Rhinolophus ferrumequinum: one gene and its partners. The protein of the gene in region 4 interacts with the protein of the main gene of each other region in a pairwise test. Links are inferred from orthologs where the notes say so. Each region holds a gene or a part of one and is shown on either strand. Other genes may lie near its edges.

Region 1 (7,087 bases), on a different chromosome or scaffold from region 4:
ACCATATCCAAGAGTAAACTCAAAATGGATTCAGTACTTAATGTAAGATCAGAAACCATAAAACTCCCAGAAGAAAACATAGGTAGTAAACACTTTGACATCTCTCTTAGCAATATCTTTTTGGATATGTCTCCTTAGATAAGGGAAACAAAAGAAAAAATAAACATATGAGACTATATCAAACTAAAAAGTGATGGAAACCATCAATAAAACAAAAAGACAACCTACTGATTGGGAGAAGATATTCACAAATGATATATCTGATAAGGGGTTGATATCTAAAATATATTAAGGAACTCATACAACTCAATAACAAAAAATAAACATCCAATCAAAAAATGGGCAGAATACCTGAATAGACATTTCTCCAAAGAGGACATACAGATGGCCAACAGACATGTGAAAGGATACTCAATTTCACTAATCATCAGGGAAATGTAAATCAAAACTACCATGAGATGTCACCTCACACCTGTCAGAATGGCTATTATTGAAAAGTCAACAAACAAGTGTTGGTGAGGATGTGGAGAAAAGGGAACCTTTGTGCACTATTGATGGGAATGTAAATTGGTGCAGCCACGATGGAAAACAGTATGGAGGTTCCTCAAAAATCTGAAAATAGAACTACCATATGACCCAGCAATTCCACTTCTGGGCATTTATCCAAAGAAAATGAAAACACTAATTTGTAAACATATCTGCACCACTATGTTCACTGCAGCATTACTTACAATAGCCAAGACGTGGAAGCAGCTTAGGTGTCCATTGATAGATAAATGGAGAAAGAAGATGAGATGTGTGTGTGTGTGTGTGTGTGTGTGTACACACGTGCACACACGTGTGTGTAATGAAAAATTATTCAGCAATAAAAAAGCATGAAATCCTGCTATTTGCGAGAACATGGATGGACCTAGAGTGTATTATGTAAGTGAAAGAAGTCAGTTAGAGACAGACAAAAATCACATGATTTTACTTATATATGGAAGTTTAAAAAATCAAAGCAAACGAACAAACAAAACAAAACTAGACTCACAAAAACAAAAAATAAACTGATGGGGGTGGGTGGGTGATAGGATTTGTCACAAAGGTGAAGGGAAATATCGTCAATAACAGTGTGATATAGTCAATATTGTCAATAACGGTGACAGATGGGTACGAGACTTAGAGTGGTGATCATATTGTAACGTATATAAATGTCAAATCACTATGTTGTACACCTGAAACTAATCTAAAATTGTATGCCAACTATACTTTAATGTAAAAAACAACGGATAAAGACAGCACAAAAAGAGATCACTACAGACCAATATCCCAGAAGAACACACACACAAGAATCCTCAACAAAATACCAGCAGATTGAATCAGCAATATGTAAAAAGAATTACGCAACACAAACTTGAACGCAGGTCTGTTTATTTGACAGGATTTATCATCAAGAAGAAATGTCCCAGAAACAGATACAGTGAGGAAATCCTATATGTCTGGAAAGAGGCCTGTTGGTTCAGCTCTGTCTTTCTTCCTTCTCACTTGTTATTTTCAATGATTCTCAACAAGAAAAGGTACGGCCCATAAAAGGGCTTTTGGCACTGTAGGGGGAGGGCATCTTTTTTCTCTTCTTACACTTTCTGTTCTGTCCATGTCAGAAAGACGTTTACATGTGTGTTTACGGGGACCAAGGTGTCAATCTCTGTGGTGTGTGTTACATTTTCACACAATGAAAAATTACCCCACCCTCGCACCACGAGCGGTCCCCTTGAAGAATTCTGCTCTAGATGCTCTCAGGGTGACATTATTTACCGTCTTACCTCCCAAACCTCACTTTTCAGCCCAGGCCTCTTTCCTGAGACCTATATATCCAGATATCTGCAGGGCGTGTCCACTCTCTTCTCCGAGTAGTCTCAGGAAACAGTGCCTCCATATCCTAGCCGCGTGGCACTGGTCGATCCCGGCCACCCCGAGACAGAGTCTGGTCGTCCCCGGCACTCAGTCTCCCCTCGCATCTCCTTATTATCTATATCTTCTCTGCCATCCCTGCTCGACACTGGTTCCCTTTATTCTCTGCTCTGCCTCAATATCATGGCTCCTTCGTGGTACGCATCACACCATGATTATTTAATTACTCATTTGTTTCTTTGCTCGGGGCCCTCCCCCTCCACCATTTCCCCTCACGATACACTGCAGAGACCAGGTCTCTTCTCGTTCTATACTCAGGCACAATGCCCGAAATGTAGGGTGTAGTAAATAGTTGCACCCTCCTTTCCAAGTGGAGTCCCGTGGAAGGTCTCCAAGGCGGTCTCTCTACCTCTCCTTCTCCACCTGCCCCCAGCCTCCATCCAGGCTTCACTCTGATTCCAGTTGACCTTTCTGAAGACACCGACCCTGTCCGTGCCTGAGTGTCAGTCCCTGTGGGTCCCTGTGGGTCTGGGCGGGACGAGAAGCTCTCACATTTCAGTGAGTGTCCTTGGGCCTCAGTTGGACAGGCATGCAGTGTCACTCTAGGGACACTGGAGTGGCTGAGGGGCCAGGCTCGAGTCCCCTCCCTTCACCTCCCAACTGTAAAAAACAGCCCTGCCTGGTCTCACATCTTATTCTTTTCTAAGAAAAAGTGGCCAGGCTGCAAACAGTCCCGATGGGTTGTTTTCCACCCCCCGAGAACGAGCTACTTTTCTAAAATGAAACTCTCAGGCACATAACAGACGTTGCTCAATAATTGCTGAGCACGTTCATGCGAGTTATCTTCCTCAGTCCTTCAGCCTGCATGTGGGGCCCGTGCGGGACTCAAGGTTGAGTGTGCTGCCTGTGTGGACAGGATGGGGCCAGAAAGAGTCACATTTCACGCGGGGCCTCTGGGCCTCTGTGCTGTGAGCATGCGTGCTCTCCCCCGGAGGCTCCAGGGTGACCCCCCTTCCTCTGTTCACTATGGAAACCAGTGGCAGGACAGGCCTCTCCTCCCGTTCCCCGAGTCTGCCAAGAACAGCCTATCCCACAGCTGTGTAATCGGTTCCACATTATAGAGTTTGAAGGAAGCCACCAGCAAAACTGTCTGCACCAGAAGATTTTAAGTGGTAACTTCTCCATAGACTTCCTGCATCCATGAAACTAGATTTACAGAATCTAGATTTTAAAGGCAGCCCTTCACGAGTTTGCTTGGGGAGCTTTTTTGTAAACTTTGAGCATTTGCTTCTAAGATGCTGGCGGGGAAGGACTCATTGCCCTTATCAAATAGGGCCAACCTGGGGAAACCCAGCAAGCCTGATGAATCCTCAGAATTCTCAGGGCAACACTGGATCTCATCCCCAATCCTTGACCTTGAATTAAAGGAGTTGTAGAAGCCTCATGAGTACTGGCTTCCTCTTCTTCCCCTCCCGTGGTGTCATCTGTCCCCTTCCTTATGGTCACGAAAGTCTGCATCTCTGGCTTATGGGTAGGCACCTTCTTAGGAAGCCATCAAGCTACTGACCCCTCCCGTGACACACGTGCCAGTGCATTTTCTCTACTTAAAGGTGGTCCCAAGCTTTACATATTTCCACGTCCCTTTACAGGAACTTTCTTGTTGGTGGGCAATGGAGCCTCTTCAGCAGACCTCATCCTCGTCATCTGAAGAGGCGTCCAGTTGGGCTGCAAGCGTGAGCATCGCTAAGGGTCTACCCTGTACTTGATTCCAAACTTGGGATTCGGTTCCAATACTCTAAACCCTCCGAGCACAAACTACACACCCTGACACAGTCCTAGCCGGCCCTCCTGCCAGCCGTGAGCTGTGACGGAGCTGTGGTAGACACGAGGCTCCACTGTTGGCCAGGGGCAGCCTCACCAGAATGAGGCGCAGTCCAGCTCCGGCAGCAACTGAATCCCAGGAGGCTGCTGTCTGGCCTGAGCTCTGAGAGCTCCCGAGCAGGACATCTTAAACGGTTGTAATTGTCGTGCTTTTATGAACATTTTCATAAGTGCTTCTATACATGTTACATACCCAAGGTGCCAAAAACATGTATACACATGACTTGTATTCATCTTTCGTTATCAGCCTATATTGAGTACTACAATTTTAATACAGTGCTTTTCCTTTCTTAATATGTGTGTGTATATATATTTGTCAGGAAACCCACCTTTACACAACAGCCGACGCCTTTCTCTGGGGCGCTTGTATCTAATCTGCTTCTGGATGTACCTTGTTAAACGTTTTCTAAGAAACTCAACCTCAGCATCTCAGAAGTTAAGTTCTCATCTTTCTGCTTCAGTTTGCTCCTTCTCCAGTGCTCACCCTTCTCCGTCCCCAGACGTGCTTGGCGCCCACAGGCCACCCGGGGGTCACTGCTGCCCTTATCCCAGCTGCCCTCACCCTCTCAGGGGGCTCGGGGGACACCCGCCCCGTCGGGCTCCCCGCCCCACCCCCGGCAGCCGGGCCCGCGGTGGCGGACGCGCAGGCGCAGTGGCCGCCCGCCGCCGCCCCGCCCCTCCTGGCCTCTGCGGAAGGCGCCGCGCGCAGCAACGCGCACTTCCTCTCCAGGAGTCCGCGGAGGGAGCGCAAGCTCGAAGAGCTCCTGGACGCAGAGGCCCTGCCCTGGTCACACAGAGCCGACATGTCGGAACAAAGTAAGGATGAGTGCGACCCCGGCTTTGCAGCCCAGGCCGCCACCTGCGAGGTGCACGGCGGCAGCGGGGTTCCCGGGGGGCCCTCGGCGCCCGCGTCTCAGGCCGCGACCCTCGCAGGGCCGGACAGCCCCGCCGCAGGCCCGAGCGACGCCCCTGTCGCCTCGCCGCCGCCCCAGGCCCCGAGCGACGAGGCCGACCCGAAGGCCCTGCAGCAGGCCGCGGAGGAAGGCCGCGCCCAGCAGGCCCCGAGCGCGGCCCAGCCCGGCCCCGCGCCGCCCGCCCCGGCCCAGCTGGTGCAGAAGGCGCACGAGCTCATGTGGTACGTGCTGGTGAAGGACCAGAAGAGGATGATCATCTGGTTCCCAGACATGGTGAAAGATGTCATCGGCAGCTACAAGAAGTGGTGCCGCAGCATCCTGAGGCGCACCAGCCTCATCCTCGCCCGAGTGTTCGGGCTGCACCTGAGGCTGAGCAGCCTGCACACCATGGAGTTCTCGCTGGTCAAAGCGCTCGAGCCCGAGGAGCTGGACAGGGTGGCGCTGAGCAACCGCATGCCCATGACAGGCCTCCTGCTCATGATCCTGAGCCTCATCTATGTGAAGGGCCGCGGCGCCCGGGAGAGCGCGGTCTGGAACGTGCTGCGCATCCTCGGGCTGCGGCCCTGGAAGAAGCACTCCACCTTTGGCGACGTGAGGAAGCTCATCACCGAGGAGTTCGTGCAGCAGAACTACCTGAAGTACCAGCGCGTACCCCACGTGGAGCCACCTGAATACGAGTTCTTCTGGGGCGCCCGCGCCAGCCGGGAGATCACCAAGATGCAAATCATGGAGTTTCTGGCCAGGGTCTTTAAGAAAGACCCCCAGGCCTGGCCTTCCCGATACAGAGAGGCTCTGGAGGAGGCCAGGGCGCTGCGGGAGGCCGAGCCCACTGCCCACTGCCCCCGCAGCAGTGTCTCCGAGGACTAGCAAGGTCTGGAGGCAGATTCCTGGTGTCTGACCCTCACCAGGGTGGCGGGGCGGGGGTGGGTGGGCGGTAGCGTATTCAGGATTTCCAGTGCAGTATTTCACGTGTAACTTTTAAGTTTTCAGTACAGTGCTTTTATACCTTTTAATGCAATGTTGTATTCATTTCAGTACTATTAGGTAGTGGGTAGGACTTCTGCATGTTTGTTTATAAGTAAGCTCGGTCGGTGCTTTCGCTTTTGTGCTACCTTTCTTGAATTTTTGTACCAGAGATGTGCTAAACTTATGAAATACATTGAGAAGTTTTCCATCTTATTCTTTTCTATGGAACGGATGATGTGTGTCTCGGGTAGACTGCCCCGGGGAGGCAGGAAGAACTCCCCAGTAAAGCTGGCCTGACCAAGAGAAAAGTCAAGGTCCCCTCAGTTAATGACCTCGCGGGGCACAGGAAACACCCGTGCGGAGTGCGCCGGTGTGGTCTCACATGGTCTCAATGTGGGCACTTGGCACAGTTTACTAAACACAAGTACAACCCCACCATGAGTAAACTTGCAACATTAAAGATTCTTGTGATACAATCATTTTTGGAAAAGTGTACTTTATCTCTTTCACAATGTAAGTTGGGAGTGAGACGTTTTTCAAAATGTACAAATACCATAACTTTTTCGTCTACTAAGGTGGGACAGTCACGACTCATCGTTACTCCTAAAAGTGTGAACGCTACAGTTTTATTGTTTAAATGTAACTCACAGGTTCACGTCAAAACTTCGACAACTACAGAAAAGTAGAAAAACAAGAAAAAGAAAGCAAACATGCTCATAATCACACCACGTAAAAACCACTGTTAACGTCCTCTCTTGAATTTTGTACATTTTATTAAAATTAATAGCTGTGTTTTGTGGGCACTTAAAGAGGGAGGCATTGTACTAAACCCTTCCCGTGCATTTGCTCCTTTGATTGAATCCTCACGACGGCCTTATGAGACAGGCTTTCATTACATCTGCCCCGAGCAAAGTCGGGAACTAACTTTCCCTGGATCCGAAAGCTTAGTAAGAGGAGGAGCTGGGATTTGAACCCAGACAGAGTGGGTCCAGAGCCTCTCCTTTTCCTCACCTGCCTGTGACCGCTGCCCCACCTCCTGCCTTACTTTATTTCTTTTTTAAATTTTGTGTTACAGTCTCTTAGCTCCCTACCCCCAATGCACACACACACAAGCCTATGGATTCCACTTTTCTAATTAATCCTCACTTTAATCTTTTAGAGAAAGCAATCACTCTGATTGTACAAATTAAGAATCTTCATTTCAGAGAGATCAGTGGACCTAACCAAGTCATAATCCTGGGTGGCAGTGAAGCTGAGATTGGAAACGTGGTCCTGCCTTGAAGGACTGAGATGGAGCCTTCTCTGATCAGTGGTGTCAGAGGCACACACATGGGACCCCTGGGTGAGGGACGTGGGGCTGGGGTGGGAAGGTTGCCTGCTGAGGCACCTGTGACCCAGCAGTTCTTGAATTGCAATGGGTCACTTGGGAATCC
Region 2 (7,492 bases), on a different chromosome or scaffold from region 4:
CCTCCCCAAGGCCTGCTTCCCGGAGGAGCTGGGGCTCAGGCGCCTGGGTTCTTCCCCAGGACTGATGATTCACACTTTCTGGGGCCTTTTCACTTCTCCTTTGGGGCTAAAAATATAGGGACCCAAGCATCCAGCTGGGCCAGGCTTCAGCACGGATTGCACAATGCCCTTAGTTGGGGTGCTGCTGACGCAGGCCCAGGCCCGGGTATGGGTTGGGGCTGAAGTGCTCCCTGATCAGTAGTGCTGAAGTCAGGTCTTAGACCCCTCCACTTCCCTTTTCCTAGACCAAGGACACCGGAGGCTGGGCTGAAATGGGAGGTGCTAAGGATCCTGGGCTTGGCTGTAACCCCTGGAAATGAAGGTCCCTCTCCAGGTAACCCAGGGGTTCTGGCTCCCAGAATCTGGCCTCCTTCACAGACAGAGTCCCAGTGAGGAGCTGGGGGCAGAACACAGCGGCACAGGGGGACTGGGAGAGAGATGGTCAGCGACAGGGAGACACAGGACCACAGAGCAGAGACAGACATAGGGACAAAAAGAGACTGAATGAGAGACAATAGACACACGCAGCAGACACACAAAGGCAGGCAGGCGAGGTAGAAAAAAGGACAGACACAGAGATCATGCTTAAATTGGGACAGAATCAAGTAAGGATAGAGGGAGAGGGCCCAGTGAGGGCTTCACATCCAGGCCAGGTAGGGGACGCGCCCCTCAGGTCATCATCAGGCACAGTCCAAGGTCCACACTTGGAGGGAGAGCAGGCAGCCAGCTGAGGCAAGGCCCCGCCCCGTGCGCGCTCTGCTGGCCTCTGCTGCCCCCTGCTGGCTTCGCCCCAGTACTCAGGCGGGAAGAAAAGTCAGAGACAAGGCTGCTTTGAGGCCACTCTTCATTCCCTCCCTTTCCCTCTCCCCCACAGCCTGGCCCATTCCCAGCCCTGCCAGCTCACAGGGCACCCCCAGGGCCCGTAGGTGGTGCAGGAGTCTTGCCCGTGACTTTGTTGGCACAGTCCAGCAGAGCGGTGTGAATGTCCTTGGCACAGGCAATCTGGGCTTTGATGACTGCCAGGTACTGTGGGTAGGGTAGGCTGTCAGGCTGCACTGCGTCAGGCTTGGTAGCTGTGGGCACCAGCGTTGGAGAGTGCTTGGCACTGTCGCAACTCTGTGACAGGCACTCATGTGCCAAGCGCTGTGGATGGGCAGGCAAGGTGCAACATCAGCTTCACTCTGGGTACTCCCAACCCCGCCCCAAAGACCAGCCTGGGGTGGCCTGCTGGGTCCCTGGACTGCTGGTCTGGGGGTCAGATCCTAGGCCTGCTAAACACTTGTTGGGTGAGCTCAGGTGAGCAGCCGCGCCCCTCTGAGCCTGTTTTCCTCCTTTGGAAAATGAGTTTAATAACTATCTTTGCAACTCATAAGGTGAGAATGGTGAGAACAGGGTGTGGGACAGACACAGGTTCTGGCACATCACTTAAGTGCTAACGAATGAGTGTTAGCTACTATGATTGTGACTGTCCTAACCCCAGGCTTGGTATTGGCAGTGGCTTCTCTGATGACATCTGCTCCCAGTTTTCCTCCTACTTCTTTGGTTGCTCCTTGTAGGTACTTAAATGCAGCAACTCCCACATCCCATCTCCTCCTTTAATTCTCAAGTCCTCTGGCGCTGTCTCATTCCCGTATATCACTGAGTACCCACCTCTGCACTGACGACGGCACATCTGTGTCCCCAGCCTCCCCTTATATTCCAGAGCTCTCACACTCCCCCCACCCCCAATGGCTCCTCTTTCTAGGTCCCTGTCTTAGGGAGGGCACTACCATTCCAACTAGAGCCCTGGGACTCATCCTGGAGGCTCCTCCTCTTGCAACCTGTCAGTTCCCATGGCCTCTGAGTTTCTCTCCCATCGGCCCTTCCGCACTTCCTCAGGGCCTTGTCCTGGTGGAGCCTCGCCCATTGAATCCTGCCCTGGCGGCCCTCTTGGGTTCCTAGCTTCCACTCTTGGCCCCTTTAATCCACCCCTCATTTGGCAGCCAGAGTCATATTCCTAAAAAAGCAATGGGTCCACGTTCTTCCCTGCTTGAAACTCTGGATGGCTCCCCAGCACCCTCAGGACTATATTTAAACTTCAGCAAGCCCCAATCCGAACTACACCTTAGCCAGACTGAATTTCATGATGTTCCTAAAGGGCACTTAAAGCAGAAGCTGTTCCTTCTGGCTGGAATGCCTTTCTACCACTATCAGGCTTCTCGAATTCTGTTTCTTCAAAACCCAGTTCAAAATAATGATGGCAATGATAATACTGCGGAAACATTTGCCATGTGCCCAGTACCATGTTAAGTACTTTACATTCATGATCTTGCTGAGTGTTTCCCGAAAATCCATTTTCCAAAGGAGGAACCCTCGGCTCAGATGTAGAGGTTGGTGGTCCATCTGATTCCAGAGGCTCTTAGCCACTTGCCCTCCTTTGGATTCCTGCCCCACCTCCAGTTTTGTTCCTGCCTCAGCTCAGATGTGTTCTCCACCAGTAGCCTTCCCTGAGTCACTCTCTACCTATCCCTAGCCCAGGCAGGGTCAGGTGCCTTCTCTGGGCTTCCACAGCCCCCTGAGCTTCCCTCATTTCAATCCTGACTTCTTTAGCCGTGTTCCCAATCCCCTATCCCAGCCCTGATCTCTAAGGCCTGGGCTTCTCCATCACAGCTCTGAGCACTCTGAGGCCTCAATGATGGGCACGTGTGTCACCCCACTGGACTAGAAGCTCTGAGTGGGTAAAGATCAGGGCAACACTGTGTCCCCAGCTTCAGATGAAGTACAGGTCTGGCCCTCAGGAGGTGCCAGTGTGTGTGTGTGTTAACTGGCTGAATAAGGGTTCCTAAAGACCCAGGGATTGAGGCAAGATTGTGATCACCCAGTGTCTAGGAGGCCCCTTACCAGGCAGAGCTCCAGCTGGTCACAGAGTGCGTAGAACTCCTCCAGACACTTGTCAAAGCGCTGTATGGGTCCATCACTGCTCTTTCTATAGTCCATGAGAAGGAGACTGAGAAACGGATTTTCAATCTCTGGGACATCTACCCAACTAAGTAACCATGAGGAAACCAGGTATAGGCCCAGGAGCCCCGCGGCAGGGCCTATGGAATTGTTAATAGTAGAAGAGGCAAAAAGAGCAAGGCCCTACGGAGCCCGGCTTGAAAATAGGAGGAAAGGAGGCGGGTGGGCGGGGCTTGGGGGATGAGTTTCTAAGATGGGGTGGAGATAGGGGTACATCTTAGGATATGGGACTATACTCACTGTCCGTTGTCAATATTAGTGTTCTGAATCAAGTTCTGGGCTGCAACCTTCATCAAAGTCTAGTTTTAAAAATAAAGGTGAGAAATGGAGAAACAGAAGGAGAGACTTTTGGTAGTCTACACTCTTCCTTAAGATTTAATCAATCTCAGGCCTCTTCACTTGACACCGTCTGTCACTCCAGAGTAACTCCCGTTTCCATTCCTCTATAGCAATAATCACCCGTATTTTCCCAGGGGCCCGTTTTCATCTGGGGTTCTCGCCAATGACCTCCCGGACACATCTTAGAGCCCTCACCCACCAATCACAAGCAGAATCTCTGTACAAGCCATCCTTTCTCAGGCATTAAGGACCAGAGCTCGGTTTCTCCTTTAAACTCCCTCCCACTTGAATCCCGGCCAATCCCAGGCTCAACATCCGCGCTGCTCCCACTAGGACCAACTCTCACTCCTTTTCCCTGCCTAACGCTTCTTTTGCCCGCTCCCAGCCTAAACAGCCCCTCCGCCCACCCCCTTTAAGTCAGACAGCCAAACCCCGCTTGCTTCTTGAAGCTCCCGGCCAAATCACCTGAAGACTCTCCTTTAGCTGAGGGATGAGCATCTTATAGCGTTGCACGGGATCGAAGTCCTGTTGTTGTTGCTGCAAAAGCCCGCTCTGGGCAGGCCCCACCAGTTGTGTCGGTGGTTGCGGCTGCTGCTGGCTACCCGGGCCACCAGCCGAACCTGGGCCAGACACACCAGCAGCTGAGGATGCCGCTGAAGCCTGCTGCTGGGACGCAGCCATCTTTCTCCCTTAGCGCGCCGGAAGTGCGTTATAAGCGTGTCTCTCCGGTTTTCTTTACAGCGTCTTCGTCTCTAGGCCTTGTTTGCTTGTTAGCTCCGCCTCTCAAACACTTCAGCCAATGGAAGGAAAGGCACTCCATTCTCCAACACCAGACTGTCAAATCCGACGTCCAGTCTGACCCTTACTCAGCCGCTGGCCAATCCGGGTGTGGGTTTAATCTGGACTCTATTTCCCAGAAGGCCTCGCAGCTTGAGGCGACCAGACTGAGCCTCACTGTCTTGGCGGCAGTTGGTGGACCTGCAGCTGCGAGTTTGCGGCTGCGCGTTTACCTGAGAACTCTTCTCATCAACCCACCGGGCTAACCCCGCGGACAGGGGCGCCAACCCGAGCGCTGCGTGGGATTTCGTGTCCGCCGAAGTCTGCACGCTTCACCTTGTCTTTCTGCGGCTCAGCGGAATCCAGTCGGACTGCAATCGTCTCGTCGCCATGGCGCCCACCATCCAGACCCAGGCCCAGCGGGAGGATGGCCACAGGTAGGCTTCACACCTCTTGGCTGTACCGCTTTCCTCTAGGTCTGTCCAGGTTTCAAGGAGGCCGGGATTAGGCTCGGGTGTCTACCTATAACGTCACTAGCCCCCCAGGTCTGCCCGTGACGTCACGGAGCGCTCACGTTTGAGGAAGGCAGGTGAGTTCCTTCAGGGATGGGATGTTGCCTCCCAGCCATGGAGTTCGGGGATTAAGCTCTTGGAGACTTTTCATAAGGGATTGAGCTCTTATTCCTCCAGTCAAGCGTCTGGAGACCCCCTTTTCCAAAAACAGTTGAGTACGTGGTTCTTTTGATTACACTTGAAGACACCCTTTTCAAAAGGGATTGAGCATTTTCTCTAAAAGGAATTGAACACTTGGTTCCCTCCATTAAAGCACTTGGTGCACCCATACCGAAAGGATGAGCATTTGTCATCCCCTTCTTAAAAGTTTGGAGAAGCCCCGTTCACTCTCCTGTCGGTCTCCTTCTCTTCATCGTTTACCGATGTCTCTCTCTTACCCACCAGGCCCAATTCCCACCGGACTCTGCCTGAGAGGTGAGCCCCCTTATATTTTCCTAGGAGGGGTGGTCCGGGGTGGGGGCAGGGAGCAGAGGTGGGGCAGCAGGGGCCGGTTTCCACCCCCCACCAATATTATCAGCGTATTTTATGATTACAAACCCCCCAACCCCCTCCCCTTTGGCAACCATTAGCTTGTTCTCTTTATCTGGGGGTCTGTTTCTATTTTGTTTGTTTTGTCTTAAGATTCCATATATAAGTGAAATCATGCATGTTATGTTGTCTTTCTCTGTCTAACGTATTTCACTTAAAATAATCTGTGGGTCCACCCATAGATGTTCCAAATGGTAACATTTCATTCTTTTTTTATTGATGAATAATGTTCAATTTTACACACACATCTTCTTTATTCATTCATATATTGATGGACATCGATCCAGGTTGCTTCCATATCTTGGCTATTGACTAGTAATGCTGCAGTGAATATAGGGGTGTATAGATCTTTTATTTTTTTGAGGAATCGCCATACTGTTTTCCATAGTGGTTGCACTAATTTACAATCCCAACAGTGTATAAAGGTTCCCTTTTCTCCACAACCGCACCATCACTTGTTATTTGTTGATTTTTTTTTTTAAAGGAAAGCACATTCTTTTTTAAATTTTTTTAAAGTTTCTTTTAAAAATAAATTTTATTGGGGAACAGTGTGTTTCCCCAGGGCCCATCAGCTCCAGGTAGTTGTTCTTCAGTTTAGTTGTGGAGGGTGCAGCTCAGTTCCAAGTCCAGTCATGGTCTTCAATCATTAGGTGCAGGGGGCACAGCCCAGCATCCCATGCAGGAATCGAACCTGTAACCTTATTGTTGAGAGCTCGCCCGCCAACCAACTGAGCCATCAGCCGCCCCTCTGGAAGTTCAGCGGAGGCTCGCTGTCTTCAGTCTAGTTGTGGAGGGCACAGCTCACTAGCCCATGTGGGAATCAAAACAGTAACCCTGTTTTTCAGAGCTTGGGCTCTAACCAACTGAGCCATCCAGCCGCCCATTTGTTGATTTTTTTGATGATAGCCATTCTGACAGGTGATAACTCATTGTGGTTTTAATTTGCATTTCCCTGATGATTAGTGATGCTGAGGCTTTTTTCGTGTCTGTTGGCCACCTGTGTGTCTTTGAAGAAATGTCTGTTCAGATCCTCTGCCCATTTTTTAATTGGATTGTTTGGGGTTTTTTTGGTGTTAGGTTATATGAGTTCCTTACATATTTTGGATATTGACACCTTATCAACTGTATCATTTGCAAATATCTTCTCCCATTCAGTAGGTTGTCTTTTTGTTTTGTTGATGATTTCCTTCACTGCACAAAAACTTTTCAGTTTGATGTAGTCCCATTTATTGTTTCTTTTGCCCTTGCCTGGGGAGACATACAAAAAAAAAAAAATACTGCTAAGAGCGATGTCAGAGATTTTACTGCCTATTTTTCTTCTGAGAGTTTTATGGTTTCAGGTCTTACGTTTAAGTTTTTAATCCATTTTGAGTTTATTTTTGTATATGGTGTAAGACATTGGTCCAATTGAATTTTTTGCATATATCTGTCCAGTTTTCCCAACACCACTTATCGAAGAGACTATCTTTACCTTATTGTACTTCCCTGCATCCTTTATTTTAGATTAACTGACCATAAAGTATAGTATTCTTTAAAGGATTCTTTGTATTTCTGTGGTGTTGGTTGTAACTTTTCTTTCATTTATGATTTTATTTATTTCGGCTCTCTTTTTTTCCTTGAAGAGTTTGGTTTAAGGTTTGTCAATTTTGTTTATCTTTTCAAATAAATGGCTCTTAGTTTTATTGCTCTTTTCTATTTTAAAAAATTTCTATTTCACTTATTTCCACTCTGATCCTATTTTCTTCCTTCTATTTACTTAGGGTTTTGTTTTTTATTTTTCTAGTTCCTTTAAGTATAGACTTAAGATTGTTTATTTGGGATTTTTGTTGTTTCTTGAGGTAGGCTTGTATAACTGTGAACTTTCCTTAGAACTGCTTTTGCTGCATCCTGTAAATTTTGAAAAGTTGTGTTTTCATTTTCATTTCTTTCAAGATAGTTTTAATTTCTTGTTTGATCCATTTGGTAGCATGCTGTTTAGTCTTCATATATTTGTGTGTTTTTTCCAGTTTTCTTCCTGTAATTTCTAGTTTTATGCTATTGTGGTAGGAAAAGATGCTTGATATGATTTCAGTCTTATTGAATTTGAGGCTTGTTTTGTGGCCTACTGTGTAACTAGTCTGGAGAATGTTCCATATGCATTTCAAAAAAAAATGTGTGTTCTGCAGCTTTTGGATGAAATGTTCTGTAATTATCTATTAAGCCTATCTGGTCTAATGTAATATTTAAGGCTATTATTTTCC
Region 3 (7,487 bases), on a different chromosome or scaffold from region 4:
CAATCTGTCTTGCTGCTAAGGCTGAACAGAAACTTACAAATCACTGTGGCTTGTTTAGGAAAGGCTGTTAATAGCTCTGCAGTCTCCTGACATTGGTCACTGGATTTTAGTATTAAGAAGTCTCAGTCTTTGCTTTCCTACTACAGCTAACTTTGTACTGAAATGTTTAAGAGATCTTCTGTACTCGATGTTGCGTATTTTTTCTAATTCTCAATAGGGATGAAGCACATATCTAGCCTGCTTTCCAAGGGGGATGCTTCACCTGCCTGGTCCTGCCTGCATGTACACCAACGGGACACTGACCCCGTCAGCCATATAGCTGTCCACACTGAAGAGTATGTTTTCCTGACAGCCCGAATTAAATGGTTAGCCCAATGGATAACAAAAAATCAGTACTTGCAAGACTACTTAACCCTTTTGTACATAAAAATTACAAAAGCTAGAATGAATCACTGGAAGGAAACATGTTATTCCAAACAGCTAATTCAGAATCAGGAGTCCTTTAGTTCTGTCTGAAATCAGCACACACACGAACGAGCCTTGGTATCTTTCCCAAACTTAGGAGTTTCATACAACTAAGGATTTTCCTAAGTACAAATCCTCGTAGGCGTACTTCTTTTTGATCGGTGTGACTGAACTGTGGGCCTAGATATACTTCTAGCCCATCCCCAAAACTCAAAGACAACAGCTGGGTACCAAATTACTTTATTTGAAGAAATGGTACAAACGAAAGAACGTAAATAGATGATTTGGTACAACTTATAGAAAGATAAAGGTAACCCTAACATGCACGTACTGCTCTGGTGACCAGGAAGTCACCCCCGTGGCTACTGGAAGCCGGCCAAAGGCTTAGCTCTCATTACTGTCTCCCAGGGTGTGCTTGTCAAAGAGATACTCTGCCATGCCAGATTCAGGGGCCCCCATCTTGCGTAAGTTGGTAATGTAGTCACCCAATTCTTTGATGGATTTCACCTGCTCGTTCAGGTAATGAGTCTCAATGAAGTCACACAACTAGAAAACAGAATAGGGAAGAAAGTTATTGGCCAGCGTTCCCAGCCCCCGAGGGAAGCGACTTCCTCCATTTATTCCCACGTTGCCAACACTCACATGGGCATCGTTTTTGTCAGTGGCCAGTTTGTGCAAATCCAGCAGTGACTGATTCACACTTTTTTCCAAGTGTAACGCACATTCCATTGCATTCAGTCCATTCTCCCAGTCGTCACGGTCTGGTTTCTGAATGAAAGGAAGTTAGGTCAATGCATCTATAGTCTCTACCAATAAACCGCAATTCAGCAGGTACCTAATGTAACCAGCGAGCTTTGGCAAAAGGGACATCTGAGTTTCCCTTGACGACAGTTTCCAATTTACCATCCTTGCTCATTACTGGGTGCCTACTTTAGCTAAGATGGTAGGCCTGAAAGAGCACGAAAGGTAAAGGCCCAAAGTATCCTTATTTTAAAAGGGCAACTGCTAGTCTCTGACTGATTTCTGACACCTGAGAACTGCTCGACTATGCAAGTGTGACAGCTGTAGGACCTTTTGTTCACCTTGACATCCTGAAGGAAGATTCGGCCGCCTCGCTGGTTCTGCAGCTTCATCAGTTTCTCAGCATGTTCCCTCTCCTCATGAGATTGGTGAAGAAAATATTTGGCAAAGTTCTTCAAAGCGACATCATCGCGGTCAAAGTAGTAAGACTGTACGTGGAATGTGAACATGTTACGTTAGGAGTCAGGTTGTGTTTCTAGATTGAACACAACAAAATTAGTTTCTACTTTTCAAATCCAAAAATGAAACCTGGCCCTTGAAATTCCAAGTTTACGACAAGGAACCTTTACAATACCATAGGAATACCAGTATGGAATGTCTGAATCGCCTGTATTACTGCAAAATTCTTACGGCCAGTGTCCAATTTCCCTGGAGAGGCTGTGGGAGTATTTACCCTGCATTATTAGCCCCTCCTCCCTGATCAACCCCTTTTACAACAGGAGCTTGCCAGCTTCTGGCAGACTGAAGGATTTCTAAAATTAACTTACTAGGCAAGGTGACAACTGTGTGCAATGCTAATGGAGGTAAATATCATTACCAGTAGAAAGCAAAAATTTGATTCGGTCTTGGACACTTGCTGCATTTAGGTGTTCCTCAAATGGAATGGCAGTCATAGAAATTCAGGCCTGTTTTCAAGAACATGTCTATTCTTGGATAATTTTCATGATCCTAAGACAATTCTAACTAAAACTCCCACCACATCGACTAACACCAGGATTTTGAAAAACGGATTCCACTGATCACGACAGAGAATAATTCCTTGCCCAGTAGCTGTCAGGGGGTTTCATCCCAAAATTCAGGGTTCAATTATTAGAGGGCTACAACTCTTATTACAGATACAAAAAAGACAAAGAATTAAGCACCCAGGCACTAGGCCGGGTGACATAGACAACTTCCTATCCACAGACAGGGAGATTCTAGAGATAGGCTTCAATTCAAGTGGGACTTAGAGATAAGCAGAGCAGAGGGGTGGAGACAGCTGCTCGGGAGTGGTCGGCCCACCGGAGATAAGTCACTTAGCACCAGCCCCAAGGCTGCCATTCGACACCATTACGCAGGAGGCTCCGCCATACCCAGGGGGATGGTAGCTGGACCTCTTCGTCCTTTACCAAAGAAAACAGAGGGTCTCAGGGACACGTAGACGCAGAGGATGGGATGGAAATGCAAAACAAATCTACCTTCCTAACTGCAGGGCTGTCTAGGTTTTAGGTGCTGCAATCCCGGGATTTCAAGAACCCAGGCTCTCCTTACACATAAAGGGGTGCGCAGAGGAGGCCTTTGCCTATGACGAAGTCCTCCCAGGGAGCAGTCGGCAAGAGCTAACTGCCCAGAACTTCTGCGCAAGACCAGTCCCGGGAGACCCGGAGCAGCCTCCATTTTCCCGAAGGGCGCCCGGGGCGGGAGGGCCGCCCGGTAGCCACACCCCCGCTCCGCGCCCGGGCGGCCGCCCCCGCGCCTCGGCCCTCGCCCTGCAGCCGGGCTACGCCGTGCCCGCTCACCATGGACAGGTAGACATAGGAGGCGTAGAGCTCCAGGTTGATCTGGCGGTTGATGGCGGCCTCGGAGTCCTGGTGGTAGTTCTGGCGCACCTGCGAGGAGGTCGCGGACGTCATGGTGGGCGGCTAAGGAGAGGCGGCGGCGGCGGCGCTGTTGCGGTGGCGGGAACCTCAGGGCGGTCGGCAGGCGCTGTGAGGAGGTGGCGGAAGGCTAGCCCTGAGCAGCCGGCGGGACGGGGGAATGAGCGCCGGGTTCCGTCCAAGCACTGTTGAAGCAGGAAACCACGGCAACTCCAGGCGAAGACTGTGGCGCAGGCCGCTGCCTCCGGCCTTTTATAGCGGGAGCGGGCGTCAGGCTCGCGCTGACCAATCGCGCGGATCGCCCGTCGCACCAGGCCCCGTCTTTTCCGGTGGGCGTGAGGCCCCGCCCCGCTGGGCCGGTGGGGGAGGGGAGGCCCGGAGGCCGCGGCGGGTGCGGCAAAGCGTGCGGCGGGGGAGGGTGGCTGTGCGCTCGGTGGCGCGCTTGGTGGGTTTGAAGGGACACAGTGGGGAGGGACGGGAAGCCCAGCTCGGAGCCCGGGCCCGCGTGGCCTCCTGGGTCTTGGAACCGACGGGAAACTGCCCCGGGGCATCAGGACGACTCTCGTCCCCAACGACACCCCGAGGCTCTGGGCCAAGGCCAAGGGCTTGTTAATGTGAGCGGCAGAGCAGCAGTTAGCACACCCCGAGGTGATCACCTCGTAATGCCAGTTGGGAAACTGGATATGGAAACGTGGGCCCTAGGAAGCCGACTGAGTCTGGTTGGACTGGGAAAGGACACACTTTCTCTTCCTCAAAGTCTCCGAAGCTGCAAAATGGAGGCGGAATGGGGGGGCCCACGCCACCTCGGATCAGCCCCCGCCCGCCCGCCCTTTACTGAAAGCAAATATGGCTCCTGGTGCAGTTTATACAACAAAGGCTGGGCGGGCCGTGTTTCCCGACAGACATGAAACCGCTTTCCCTGTGGGAGTCCTTGAGATGAGCCCCCTGGGCCTGAGAAAATCACTGGTGGCACTTTGAAACTCAGATGGAAAGTTAGAAAAAGGAGAAGAGACTTGGGCGCGCATCTGGAGACGATGCTGTGTGGCCATTTTGAAATGACCTCTTTTATCAGGTGCGGTTTGCACCGGGGACCCTGGAGGGGCAGGTCCACTGCATGTGGCTTGCAGCTATGACCCAGGCACGCAGTGGGTGGAAGAACTAGAGCCAGGCTCGAGCTCCTGTCCCCCAGTCTGCTGGCTTCGAAGTTCACTATTCTTAGCCAGGTCCTTTGACACGGGGGAGACTTATCCAAGACCCCTTTCAGGATGCTAACCTGCAACTGGAAGCTGGACTTCCAAACCTAAAAGAAACTACTAAAATGTTAAACCAAGTTGCTGATGGAATTATGGCTCTTTCTCTTGGGTCTTTATTCATTTCAAAATAAACGGTACTTTCAGGGAAAAAAAATTTAGTGGGGCCAGAGCTTCAATAAAGTAAGCAGAAGCAAGCTGGGAGAGGAGACAAAGGGTGCCTTACTCCGCCTGGGATAGGAGATCAGGGAAGGTTTTCCTAAGAAAGTAGCACTTGCGCTGTGTGAAGAAAAAGTTAAAAGGAAGGTGAAGTGGAGGAGGGAGATGAGGGAGAGAGAACTCTCCAGGCAGAGAGAACAGCATATGCAAACGTGTAAAAGTGTGGAAATGTATGGCCTGTCCAAGGTACTTTAAGAAAGAGTATAGGCCTGGAAAGTAGTCATGTTGGAGAATGCTGGAAGGGTAGTCTAGGGGCCAGGTCAGGAAGGAATGTGTGCCGTAAAAAGGGGTTAAATTTTATCCTGGATGATGTGGAAACACTAAGGGATTTCTACCACATTAGTTTTGTTTTTCAGAAAACTTACACCGAATCAACAGAAAAACTATTAGGATAAGAGTATAGCAAGTCATCAGTCACAAAGCTTTCCTGTATAATAATAACCATCAGTTTAAAAATGGAATGAAAGACAATTTTTTTCGTTTACATTGGCAACAAATGCTTACAGTATTTAGGAATAAAGGTAATAAGAAATGTGTGAAGAAAACTATAAATATTTACTGCTGGACAGAAAACTTCCATCAATGAAGAGACACCATGTTTCTAAATAACCAACCTCAGTTTTGTAAAGATGTCAGTTCTCCCAAAATAAACCTATAGATTCAATGCAATTTCTATGAAACTGGTTTTTTTGGGAACTTGACAAAATGATTCTAAACTTCATTTGGAAGAGTGAGTGTGTAGAATAGGTGATAAGTATGTGGGGGAAAAGATTATGGGGGTAGATTTGCCCTCCGTGATATGTGTGTGTGTGTGTGTATATATACACACACACACACACACACACATATGTAAAAGTATAAGGTACTATGAGCAGTTGGTATTGGCAAAGGAAGAGCTGACTATATCAGTGCAACAAAACAACCCTACCCACGTATGTATAGGAACTTGGTAGATGCTAAAGTGGTAATTTAAATTAGGGGAGAAAGAATGGGTTCAGGGCTGGCCCGGTGGCTCAGGCGGTTAGAGCTCCATGCTCCTAACTCCGAAGGCTGCCGGTTCGATTCCCACATGGGCCAGTGGGCTCTCAACCACAAGGTTGCCGGTTCGACTCCCACAGGGGATGGTGGGCTGTGCCCCCTGCAACTAGAAAACGGCAACTGGACCTAGAGCTGAGCTGCGCCCTTCACAACTAAGACTGAAAGGACAACAACTTGAAGCTGAACGGCACCCTCCACAACTAAGATTGAAAGGACAACAACTTGCCTTGGAAAAAAGTCCTGGAAGTACACACTGTTCCCCAATAAAGTCCTGTTCCCCTTCCCCAATAAAATCTTTAAAAAAAAAAAAAAAGAAAAAAGAAAGAATGGGTTCAACAAATTATGTTGAAACAATTGACAGTCATGTGGAAGAAGATGACTCACTATTTCAAAACATGTTCCAGCTGGATTAGAGATTCAAGCTTTAAAAAAATCTATGAAGTTACTAGAAGAATATATAGAAGATTATCTTTTAGAATTTTGGGATAAGGAGTGTTCTGAGGCTGTCGAAAGCCATAAAAGGACAGTTGGCGATCTGACTACTTAAAAATGAAAAGTTCTGTTTAGAGCGTGGTGCTGGTAACACCAATGTTGCTGGTTCGATCCCTGCATGGGCCACTGAGCTGCGCCCTCCTTAAAAAAAAGCTCTAAGACAAAAGATGCCATAAACAAAGTTAAAATTCAAATGACAAATTGAATTGATATTTGTAGCTCCTATAAGTAGTGACGATGAATAAACATACTATATATATTCATATGTATAATTATATACATATAAATCACACCTTATAATTGTCTTCCCTGCTACTGTATACTGTAAGCTCGAGGGCGGGCATCCTGGGCTCCCAGCATTGTGCAAGGTGCTTGTTACTTGGTGCTCAGTATTTGCTGAATGAACAGATGGATGCACGATTGAATGTGGAAGATGGATTAAAGTCAGGCCAGAGGGTTGGGTACCAGTTGGGAGGCAACAGCCCTAGTTCTCAGTGAGCAAAGAAGACAGAAAGCAGATCTGAGAGATATGGAGAAGACAGAACAGACAGAATGAGGTAGCTGATTGGATATTGGGGGTGGGTGGTGGTGAGGGGTGGGAGGTGGGCAAGGGAGCCTCCCACCTGGGCTGCAGCTGCCATTCACTGAGAGAGAGAGCACAGGAGGAAATGCAGTTTCGGGGAGAGGCCATTGGGGAAGGCAAGCTAGGTTTTGGACTGGAGGTGCCGAGTTTCAGGGCCTCCAGGACATGCAGGTAGCCAGAGCCAGCCTAAAGTTGGACCCACCAGAATGAAGTTGGTCTGTTGCAGAAAGAGATTTCATGAACCAGTATTGGCTCTGTGCTTGGTTAAACACATACACAGTTGTCGAGAACGTCATGGCAAAACTGAGGGACAGTCTGGGCTGTAGAAGTTCACTGGGGAGGCCAGCTGGGAAGAATGAAAGGGAAGTCTTGTGCTGGGTGTGTATGTGTGTGTCTGTTTGCCAGGGTGTCAGAACTGCCATCTCCAAGCTTCTAGATTCTTCCAAAGCTGGAGCCTGGTCTTTGGACCTTTGTTGACCAGAATTTGGCCTCCCTCCCCTTCAGCCCCAGCTCCTCGTGACTTTGAGGAGGTGGAGAGTTTGGCTGGCTTCCAGGGACCGCAGCCTCAGAGGGAGGAGACACAGAACCACCTGGCCAGTGGTTTCTGCAGAACACTGGCTCATCCCAGAGCTGAGGAATGGCAGAAGTGGGGCGGGGGTTTGTGTTGGAAGTTGCTGCCCCACCGTGACTCAGCACTCTGCTAGTCTGGAGGGGTTGGGCTTGGGCTCCAAAAGTGCTTTGTCATGGAGGGAAGGGGAAGGCTGAAAGTCTTGGAGGGTTGTG
Region 4 (8,177 bases):
CTTCAGTTTCCTCACATTCTAGAAGACGTTAAATTGGTCCCCACCTTCAATCTACCTTCCAATCCTGGACTCTCAATAGAGAGGAGGGAGTTCTGGGAGAAAAGCAGGAAGGATCTGGGTAAAAATCACGTGTTGAAGCTGAGGATGCCATATTCCTTATGAAAAGAATAGGAACTAGGATATCCAGGCAAGGTCTGGAAATGTGGGTAATTGTGCCCTGGAAGGTGAACAAATATTTCACTTGGCAGAGTACAACTTAAAGAATAAAATACCTTAAGTTCTGACAGAAAAGGAAGAGCTCATGGGATACCTACAAAGTAACTTAGATCCCAAATCTGATACCTGCAGTCCTTTCATGGAAAATCAAAAATAGGACTCAATTCTGATAGGGGAGAAAGGGACCTCCCCAAATATACAGTTCTAGAAGCAATGTCAACACTCCTTGACCCACACCAAAGTTTGCTGAGTCATGAATATTAGATCTGTGGCAAGGTCAGAATGGGTAAGTATATGGCACTGAAAGCTGAAGAAAAATTAGTCTGAATTTAGGGATTTATTGTTGTGTTTAACTAAGGCTTGGGGCAGAAAATGCTAAAGTGGCCAGAACAAAGAATCCACATTACCTGGTTTTTGGCTCAACTCCAAACTCTATTCTCTGATTCAAAGTATCCTGTCCCCAGTTCACTCAAGTCTATCACTGCCATAGCCCCCAGGAGAAAAGGGAAAGATTCAAAGATTTTCTGTTGGACACTTATATGTGGAAAGGGAAACATCCCCCTTCCTAGCTATGTCACACAGTTAATTTGAACGGGATACCAATCTTCCCCAGCTGTGCTTGGCTCCCATGCTTCCTAGAACAAAAGCAAACATTGTATCTTGATCTGAGACTCAATTTAAGAATCACTTTCCTTGGAACCCAGAATCTGGGCGTGGGAAGGCCCAGATGAAGGACAAGATATTGGGGGACATGGGTTTCAAATCTTATGAGAAGGATGTTTCAAGAAAGGTAATGTAATTTTTTTGGGGAAAGAATAAAAAGAGACAAACGTACTCTATCAGAATCAGAAAGGAAATAGACACTTGCCAAAGAAAACAGAAATGCTATGGAGGCAGGCTAGAAGAAAAAGTCCCAGGAGTTAGGAAAGTATGCAGAAAAAATGACAGAAGAGATCAGCTGGGAACTTCCTTCAGACATTGAACACAGTGGTTCCTGGGGATTACACAGGAATATAAAAATATTAGGATAAAAAGTCAGAGATTTAAATCAAGAGAATAAGATTGTAGACAGATATATAAAGAAATAGGCACTAAATATAAAGAAATCTGGTATGGGAATAAAGGCAGAAATAGACAGGCATTTGAAGTGGGTAAAAATGACTACAATGAACTTATCAATTAAATCTGGGGCAGAAACCTTCCACTCCAAGGGCAAATATGAAACCCTTTACATAGTAAGGTATGACTTCATAGGGAAGGAGTTGGAGAAAGTCATTTCCAAGGGCATAAAGGTGAAGAGGTCTATTATGGGAGAAAGGCTTGAGGGGAAGTGAAGGAAAGGAGGCTCTTCTCACAAGCAATGTTATGCGAAGCTATCTCTGCTCTTGCTCCTCAGCGTAAAATGAAAGAATAAGACAGGAATCGAGAAAGTCTGTGAGGCTATTCCAGGCATGAAGTCCAAAGAGGTTCAAAATAACAACATTCACAAAGAAAAATTCCTGAGAGACAAGACAGGTCTCTCTCTGGTTTAACCTAAATGGGGAAGAGGGAGTCCTAGAAAATGGATTCAGAACAGATAAAGAAGGTGGTAGTAAAAGCAGTTCTAAAGAACCAAATCCTGGTCAAGGGAGGGGCTGAAGTAAACAAGGATCTTTTAAAGATAGTCCCCTTCTTTTTTTTTTTTTTTTAAAAAAAAAGGCTACCAGATTCCCAAATTGGGAGAACTGGCCGTAAGTCGTCTAGAAGTGGAAATCCTTCAGAAGGTAAACAGGGTATCTTCACGAGATCCCCCTTTTAGAGATCATGAATATGAAGCTCACATTCTTCAAGATGAAGAGACTGTATGAATGATCTAACCGTATCTGAGATCAAAGTAATAACAAATACAAATCCATCCCTGGGTGGAATGGTAGACCAGCTAACCTTGGGATAAATGGGTGGGGTGAGAGACTTGTGAAAAGGTGCCACCTTATGGCTAGGAGGCAACTTGACTGGTACAATCCAGAGTTCTAAGGTCAGATACGAAATGTCAGAGATTTTGACAATTTCTCCTTGGGTTAGGAACAGAAATAGAAGGCGAAAGGAGGGTGTCTTCCAGAGCCAGTAGGTAGGGACCTCTCCGAGGAAGATGAAAGGATCTAACATGGGACGGCCTTCCCAAGGGGAAAACAGGGAAAGAATAAAGAGAATTCTCCATGTGCTTGGAAAAGATGTGATTAAGCGCTAAGATATGTCTTCTACTAGGGAACAGGAAAAGTCAGTCAATACGAAGCTGGGTAAATGGGGTCTCTGGGGGGGTGGGGGACGCTGATCCAAGCACAATAATGTCCTTATGTTCATTCTCTCTAAGATGAGGGTAAAAAGCAGGTGTAACCGAGGGGCCAAAAATAAGCGGAAAGGGGTTAACTTGCAGAGGTCTCCCCAGGAGGGCTACGGGTGGGAGCGTGGATCTAAGGTTCTAAGGGTCGGGTCTCAGCTCCAGAAGCTCCATCCCGCCCCACTCTTCCCCGCTCTGGCTGGAGGAAGGGAGCTAAAGACGAGTGTCCCCAGTCGGCGCGCCGCCTCACCTTGTAGAAGGCCCCGTTGGAACCGCGCACCTCGACGGGCAGTCCCGGTTCCACATCCCCCCCAGAGGCCAGGCCGCCCATGGCGCCGCCACCGCTTCCGACTCCCCCGGCGGTGGCTGCAGCAGCGGTCTGAGTACGGGCCGGGCCAGCCCCCCGGCGTCTCCCCGGAGGAGGAGCCGGAGGGGGAGCCGCGGGGGGCGGGAGCCGGGCCGGCCCCACCGCGGCCCTGCCACAGCCAACGAGCAGGGGGCCGGGGCCGGGCCGCTCCCCGTCCGCCGCTGCCGCCTTGGTCTCCGCCACCGTGAGGGAAACGGCCGCCGCCGCCGCTGCCTTCGTCACCTCAGCTTCCGCCCGCCGCCGCCCTCGCTGCTGCCTCAGTCCCGGGACCCGCTGCTGCCGCTGCCGCTGCCGCTCCACAGCCTCCACCTCCCCCTGCCGCCGCTGCCTACTGCGCAGGCGCGCTAGGCACCCGCCCGCCGCGCGCGGGGCCCTGAGGGCCACGGCGCAGGCGTCGAGGCTGGCGACTCAGCTCGCGCTCAGCAGCGCATCGGGGCTTCCACACTCCCTTTCGCTCTCTCACGCCCCCTCTTGGTTGCTTATTTGCGCTTGCGCAGAACAAGATTGGCGCTCTTTCTTCGCCATCCCACCATTCCACCGCTCCCATCTCTTCCTTTCCCCGCCCCACAACACTGAGAGCTAGCCAATCATGGGGAGGGAGGGGCTGCGCTCACTCAGTCGGATTGGATTTCTGGGGTTCCTGGCCAGACCACACCCACTTCCCTGTGAGCTCCGCCGGGTTTGGACAAGTTAGGGATGGGCATGCGCCTGAATGACTGCTTGGTCACTTTCCCCACCTTTGTCTTTCTTGGTGCGCACGCTTCGCAGCAAAAGCAGAGGAGTCGAAAAGAAAAAAAAAAGTAACCAGTGCGCATACTCTGAACTTGACTGTCCAACCACACATACGTATCGACTCTTTTAAGCATCTATAACTCTGTGCAGTAGGAGATTTGAGACACGTTGTTGCTTTGAGAAGAGTCTGATCACGCATATAATGAAGGGCTAAAGAATAATTTCAAGGCAGTACCGAAAATCAAATGCCACTTAGCTCAGCACAAAATGTGATCATTTAAATGCTGAAGAAATAAAAAATAAAAAATACTGTTATGGAGTAAGGATAGTAGAGGGAATATTTGAATCCTTGAAGTAAGATAAGAAATTTAGATAGAAGTGAATAAAATTGCACAGAAATTAGACTCGTGTTGTGCATTTAATCATTTACCACATATTTATTTAACCCTCATTGTATTCCAATCACTGTGCTAAGTGCTAGAGATATAAAGACAAGGTGTGGTCTCTGATCTCATGGAATTTGTAATATTTTGGAGAACTGGCAGACAATTAAAGAAACAAGTTTTAACAAATTAACAAATTTATTAACAAATTTATTAACAAATTAATAAATTTATTAACAAATTTATCAAATTTATTAAGTTTTAATAAATTAACAAATAAGTACATAGAGTTCAATTGAAGATATGATAAAGACTATGCATATAGGGAAACCCATAGAGACAACGGTCATTGTCCTACAGAGTGATCAAAGAAGATCACTACAAAGGATGTGATGAAAATTGAGAGTTGAAGGATGAGTAGGAGTGAGCTAGCAGAAAAGTGCAGTAAGAGTATTCTGGAGAAAACAAGAAATACAATGGTGTAGAGGATCAGAAAAAGCATGTCCTTTAGGGAACCGCAACTAGTTCAAATAACATTGGTTTGAAGTAGGGAGCTATAGGAAACTAGATTGTAAAGGACTTGAAATCAAATTAAGAAGAATGGCTTTTACTTTATTAATAATGGAAAGTCATTGAAAGATTTTAAGCCATACGTAGAATGTGATAAGATTTACATTTTATAAGTATGGAGAACAAATTGAAGAGCAAGTGCCGTTCTGAAGGTAGTGAGACCTCTAAGGAGCCATTGCAGGTGAGAAAGATGCCGAGGACCTACTTGGATTAGGGGTACAAGTTGATCTGAGCCTGTTAAATTTGCTGTAGTCAACAAGAATTGGTGATGAGGGTGGGGTGGGATGAGGTCAGAAGCCAATGAAGAAGTGGTAGGATCACAACTACCAGATTTCTACTACTTTGGGTTACTGGGTGACTGGTGATGCCAATCATGGAAGAGAGAACACAGGAAACAAAAGTTTGGGGTTGATGAATTTAATGAGTTTGGTTTTGCTTTTTGAGTTTGAGGGGCCTATGGACCATTCAGGAGGACATGATTTCTTGTCTTCAACAAAGTCTTCTTTCAGGTCCCAACTTAAATATAATTTCGTTATCCTTCCACTATGCTCACACTAGATTAAGTCTCTTGCCTCACGCTGACAAAACAGCCTATACTCCTTTGTGGCACTCATCATAGTTGTAATATTAATAATTTATCCAGTATTTCTCTTCTGCCATCACACTATAAACTGTATGAAGTCAGAGACTGATTGACTGGGTTCCATGTCTTGTTTGTCCCCACCACTGTATACCAGTACCTTGCACAGTTCCTGGCACAGCAAATATGAACTGAATGAAGGAATCAATGTCCTGAAGGTCAATGGACACACAATTGTGTGACCTAGGAGAGGTCTGGGCTAGAAAGGTGGATGTGGGAATCATCAGCATATTAGTCATAGTTAAGGCTATAAGAGAAAATTAAATCTCTGAAAGAGAAGTATAGACTGACAAATAAATTAGGTCCAAAATGGAACTTTCAACTACACCAGTATTTAAAGGGCTGTCAAAAGAAGAGTTGCCTTCAAGAGTATCTGAGAAGGAGCAGCAGTAACTAGGGTGGCAGCAATGATAAAGAGACTATCAGCAGTGATTCTGATAGGAGAAGGGAGAGTTGCAGATATTAAGTGGAGCAGATTATTAAGAGTACTAGCTGTTAGACTGAAGAGTTTGGGTTTGTACTCTTAAACAATAGGAGTGATGAATTTTGTTTTAGAAATGATGCTATCACCAACTTCCAAACCTCTGGCACCAACAATCTTCTCAGGTTTGACTTTTCCTCTTCTTTATCTGCTCTAGTTATTCATTCAGACAAAGGATGGGAGTGGAAGAAGGGGAAACAAAATTTCACACAGGGGAATGGCATGTACAGAAGGCCCAGAGAGGGGAGTACAATGCATTTAAAGTAGTAAAAGGTCTAACATGATTAGAAGTGACTTAAAGAGGAAACATAGCTGGATGGGTTGGTTTGAGCCCAAGCGTGGAGGGCCTAAAATATATTTAGTTTTATGTTTGTAATGGCAGTGGGAGCCATTACAGGATTTTCAGTCGGCTTGCCTTTTAGTAAGATTACTCTAGCTGGAGTATAAATGATTTGTAACAGAATACCCCAGTTTGCCTTAGGATTTCTAAATAGAGAGACTGGGAGAAAGACAGAAAGATGGATATATCGATTGATGGGTGGTTAGATAGATACTGAAAATGGGGATTAAATGAAAATTTACATACTGAATGTTGAGACTTGCCCCAGACTTCTTCACATAGCTCTGAGAATACCTACAGCCAGGTTTATACTCTCCACGTGGGAGTCTGGAAGAGCCTTCTGTGAGAAATCTGATCAGACAAGAAAAAAGATCTAATGACACTAAAAGCAAGGGTTCCTCAAGGAAATGGCCTAGTGGATCACTCTACAGTAAAGTCCACAGTTAATATGCCACTTTACCACACACACACACACACACACACACACACAATTTTCCAATTAGTACTTTAGTGTCCCAATGTTAAATATGAGCAGACAACTGAGGATTACCAGACATTTGAGGAAAGCCTCCAAAATGAAAGACGGAGGCCAAAACAAGTAGAAAAGGTGGGGGGGGGGGGAATGGTCAGAAGAAAGACTACGTAAGATAAAAAACATTTTTAAAAAACGGCCATGAATATCCTTAGTGAGATAAGAAAACAACATATATCCAAGAAACAAAAACAGAATGCTTTAAAAATGCAGAGAACCAACAAGAGCTCTCAGAAATTAAAAATATGAAAGTAGAAATAAAAATTGAATAGAAGGGTTGGAAAATAAAAGTAAAGAAATCTCCCAGACAGTAGAGCAAAAAATGCAGAAGATAGGAAAAAAGGAAAGAAAACTAAAGACTAGTTCAGGGGACTCAACATCTGAATAAGAAAAGTTTTGAGATTATAGAAATAATGGAGAAGAGGAAATCATCCAAAAAGTAATAATTCAAAAAATGTTTCCATAACCAAAGAACACATCTTTCTAGTTTGAGAAGACCTACAGAAAGACATTTCTATGTAAAATTTCAGAATGTTAGGATAAAGAGACGATCCTAAAAGTTTTGGTTGGGGGAAAAGGGAAGGGAACCAAAGATAGGCTTCAAAGCATTCAGAATAAGAATGGTTTCAGGCTTCTTAACAGCAATTCCAGAAGTTTGAAAGAAATGCCTTCAAAATTCTTAGGGTAAATTGTTTCCAACCTAGTATTCAATACCCAGCCACAATGTCAATTAAGTGCAACAGTAGAACAAAAACACTTTCAGGCTTTAAAAGTCTCAACAAATTTACCTCCCAGGCCTCCTTTCTCAAGAAGCTCCATCAAAATCAACCAAGAAAAATAAAGATGAAGACATAGATTCCAGGAAACAGGTTTATCAACACGAGAGAGGCAAAAAGATGTGAAGGGAGATTCCAGTAGTGCCTCCTAAATTTCAGGCTCTGGAAAGTTCTTCAAACGAAATAAATCAAATTCCTATGTGTTTGTATATCCTTAGAAGAGATTAATACGACTACAGGAGAATTTTGAGGTAAATTAGAGTACACAGAAAACTAAGCAAACAAAAAAGACAAGGCAAGTATTAATTCCAGGGAAAACAAAAATGGTGCAGAAAACAACTATAATTATCCCCGTGGCTCCAACTGTAAAAAGCATTTGCATAATCATAATGATGTAAACACTAAACACAGATCCAACAAGATTATAATATAATATTGGAAAGATGGGAGGATGGAAGTGGGTGATGGGAGGTTGGAAAAGAGAGTTAGCAGTGGGAAGTCAATACCTAATGCCTAAAACAGAAACATCAAGAAGTAGCAATATTCACATGCTATTCTGAGTTTGGATTATGAAGGTGAATACAAAACAAAACAACAGTTTAAAAACTCAATTGAAAATTATTGTCTTTGAAGAGTGAGGGGAGTTAGAAGACTACTGTTGTTTTTATATAAGCCTTATAGAACTCTTTAAGTAATATAATGTATTTCTTGATTTGAAAAAAAAACAAAAACAACCCATAAAAGGGGGACATGTTACAGAAGGAGGCTGGGAGATTAGTTAGGAGGCTGTGGCAACTTTCAGAGACGTGATAGTGGAAGTGGG

Evidence for each region.
Region 1: the proteins of FXR2 (region 4) and NDN interact in a two-hybrid assay, tested with the Homo sapiens proteins (2 studies listed by BioGRID and IntAct). The link is inferred for Rhinolophus ferrumequinum from reciprocal best matches to the Homo sapiens genes FXR2 and NDN.
Region 2: the proteins of FXR2 (region 4) and PAF1 interact in binary tests that used the Homo sapiens proteins (3 or more experiments, as listed by UniProt). The two-hybrid records come from large-scale screens. The link is inferred for Rhinolophus ferrumequinum from reciprocal best matches to the Homo sapiens genes FXR2 and PAF1.
Region 3: the proteins of FXR2 (region 4) and FTH1 interact in binary tests that used the Homo sapiens proteins (3 or more experiments, as listed by UniProt). The link is inferred for Rhinolophus ferrumequinum from reciprocal best matches to the Homo sapiens genes FXR2 and FTH1.

Annotation. Positions count from the first base shown.
Region 1 is NC_046311.1:14,635,872-14,642,958, reverse strand, and holds NDN (necdin), read left to right. Parts: upstream 1-4,450; 5' UTR 4,451-4,577; coding exon 4,578-5,555; 3' UTR 5,556-6,133; downstream 6,134-7,087. UniProt on the Homo sapiens protein: Growth suppressor that facilitates the entry of the cell into cell cycle arrest.
Region 2 is NC_046298.1:38,559,544-38,567,035, reverse strand, and holds the start of PAF1 (RNA polymerase II-associated factor 1 homolog), read left to right. Parts: upstream 1-4,426; 5' UTR 4,427-4,542; coding exon 4,543-4,589; intron 4,590-5,108; coding exon 5,109-5,138; intron 5,139-7,492. Other genes in the region: MED29 (mediator of RNA polymerase II transcription subunit 29), read right to left, coding at 837-1,112, 2,920-3,004, 3,277-3,335, 3,841-4,056. UniProt on the Homo sapiens protein: Component of the PAF1 complex (PAF1C) which has multiple functions during transcription by RNA polymerase II and is implicated in regulation of development and maintenance of embryonic stem cell pluripotency.
Region 3 is NC_046294.1:9,007,037-9,014,523, reverse strand, and holds FTH1 (ferritin heavy chain), read right to left. Parts: upstream 3,363-7,487; 5' UTR 3,159-3,362; coding exon 3,045-3,158; intron 1,695-3,044; coding exon 1,548-1,694; intron 1,234-1,547; coding exon 1,108-1,233; intron 1,012-1,107; coding exon 850-1,011; 3' UTR 690-849; downstream 1-689. UniProt on the Homo sapiens protein: Stores iron in a soluble, non-toxic, readily available form. Important for iron homeostasis. Has ferroxidase activity. Iron is taken up in the ferrous form and deposited as ferric hydroxides after oxidation. Also plays a role in delivery of iron to cells.
Region 4 is NC_046304.1:11,268,792-11,276,968, reverse strand, and holds the start of FXR2 (RNA-binding protein FXR2), read right to left. Parts: upstream 3,231-8,177; 5' UTR 2,865-3,230; coding exon 2,784-2,864; intron 1-2,783. UniProt on the Homo sapiens protein: mRNA-binding protein that acts as a regulator of mRNAs translation and/or stability, and which is required for adult hippocampal neurogenesis. Specifically binds to AU-rich elements (AREs) in the 3'-UTR of target mRNAs.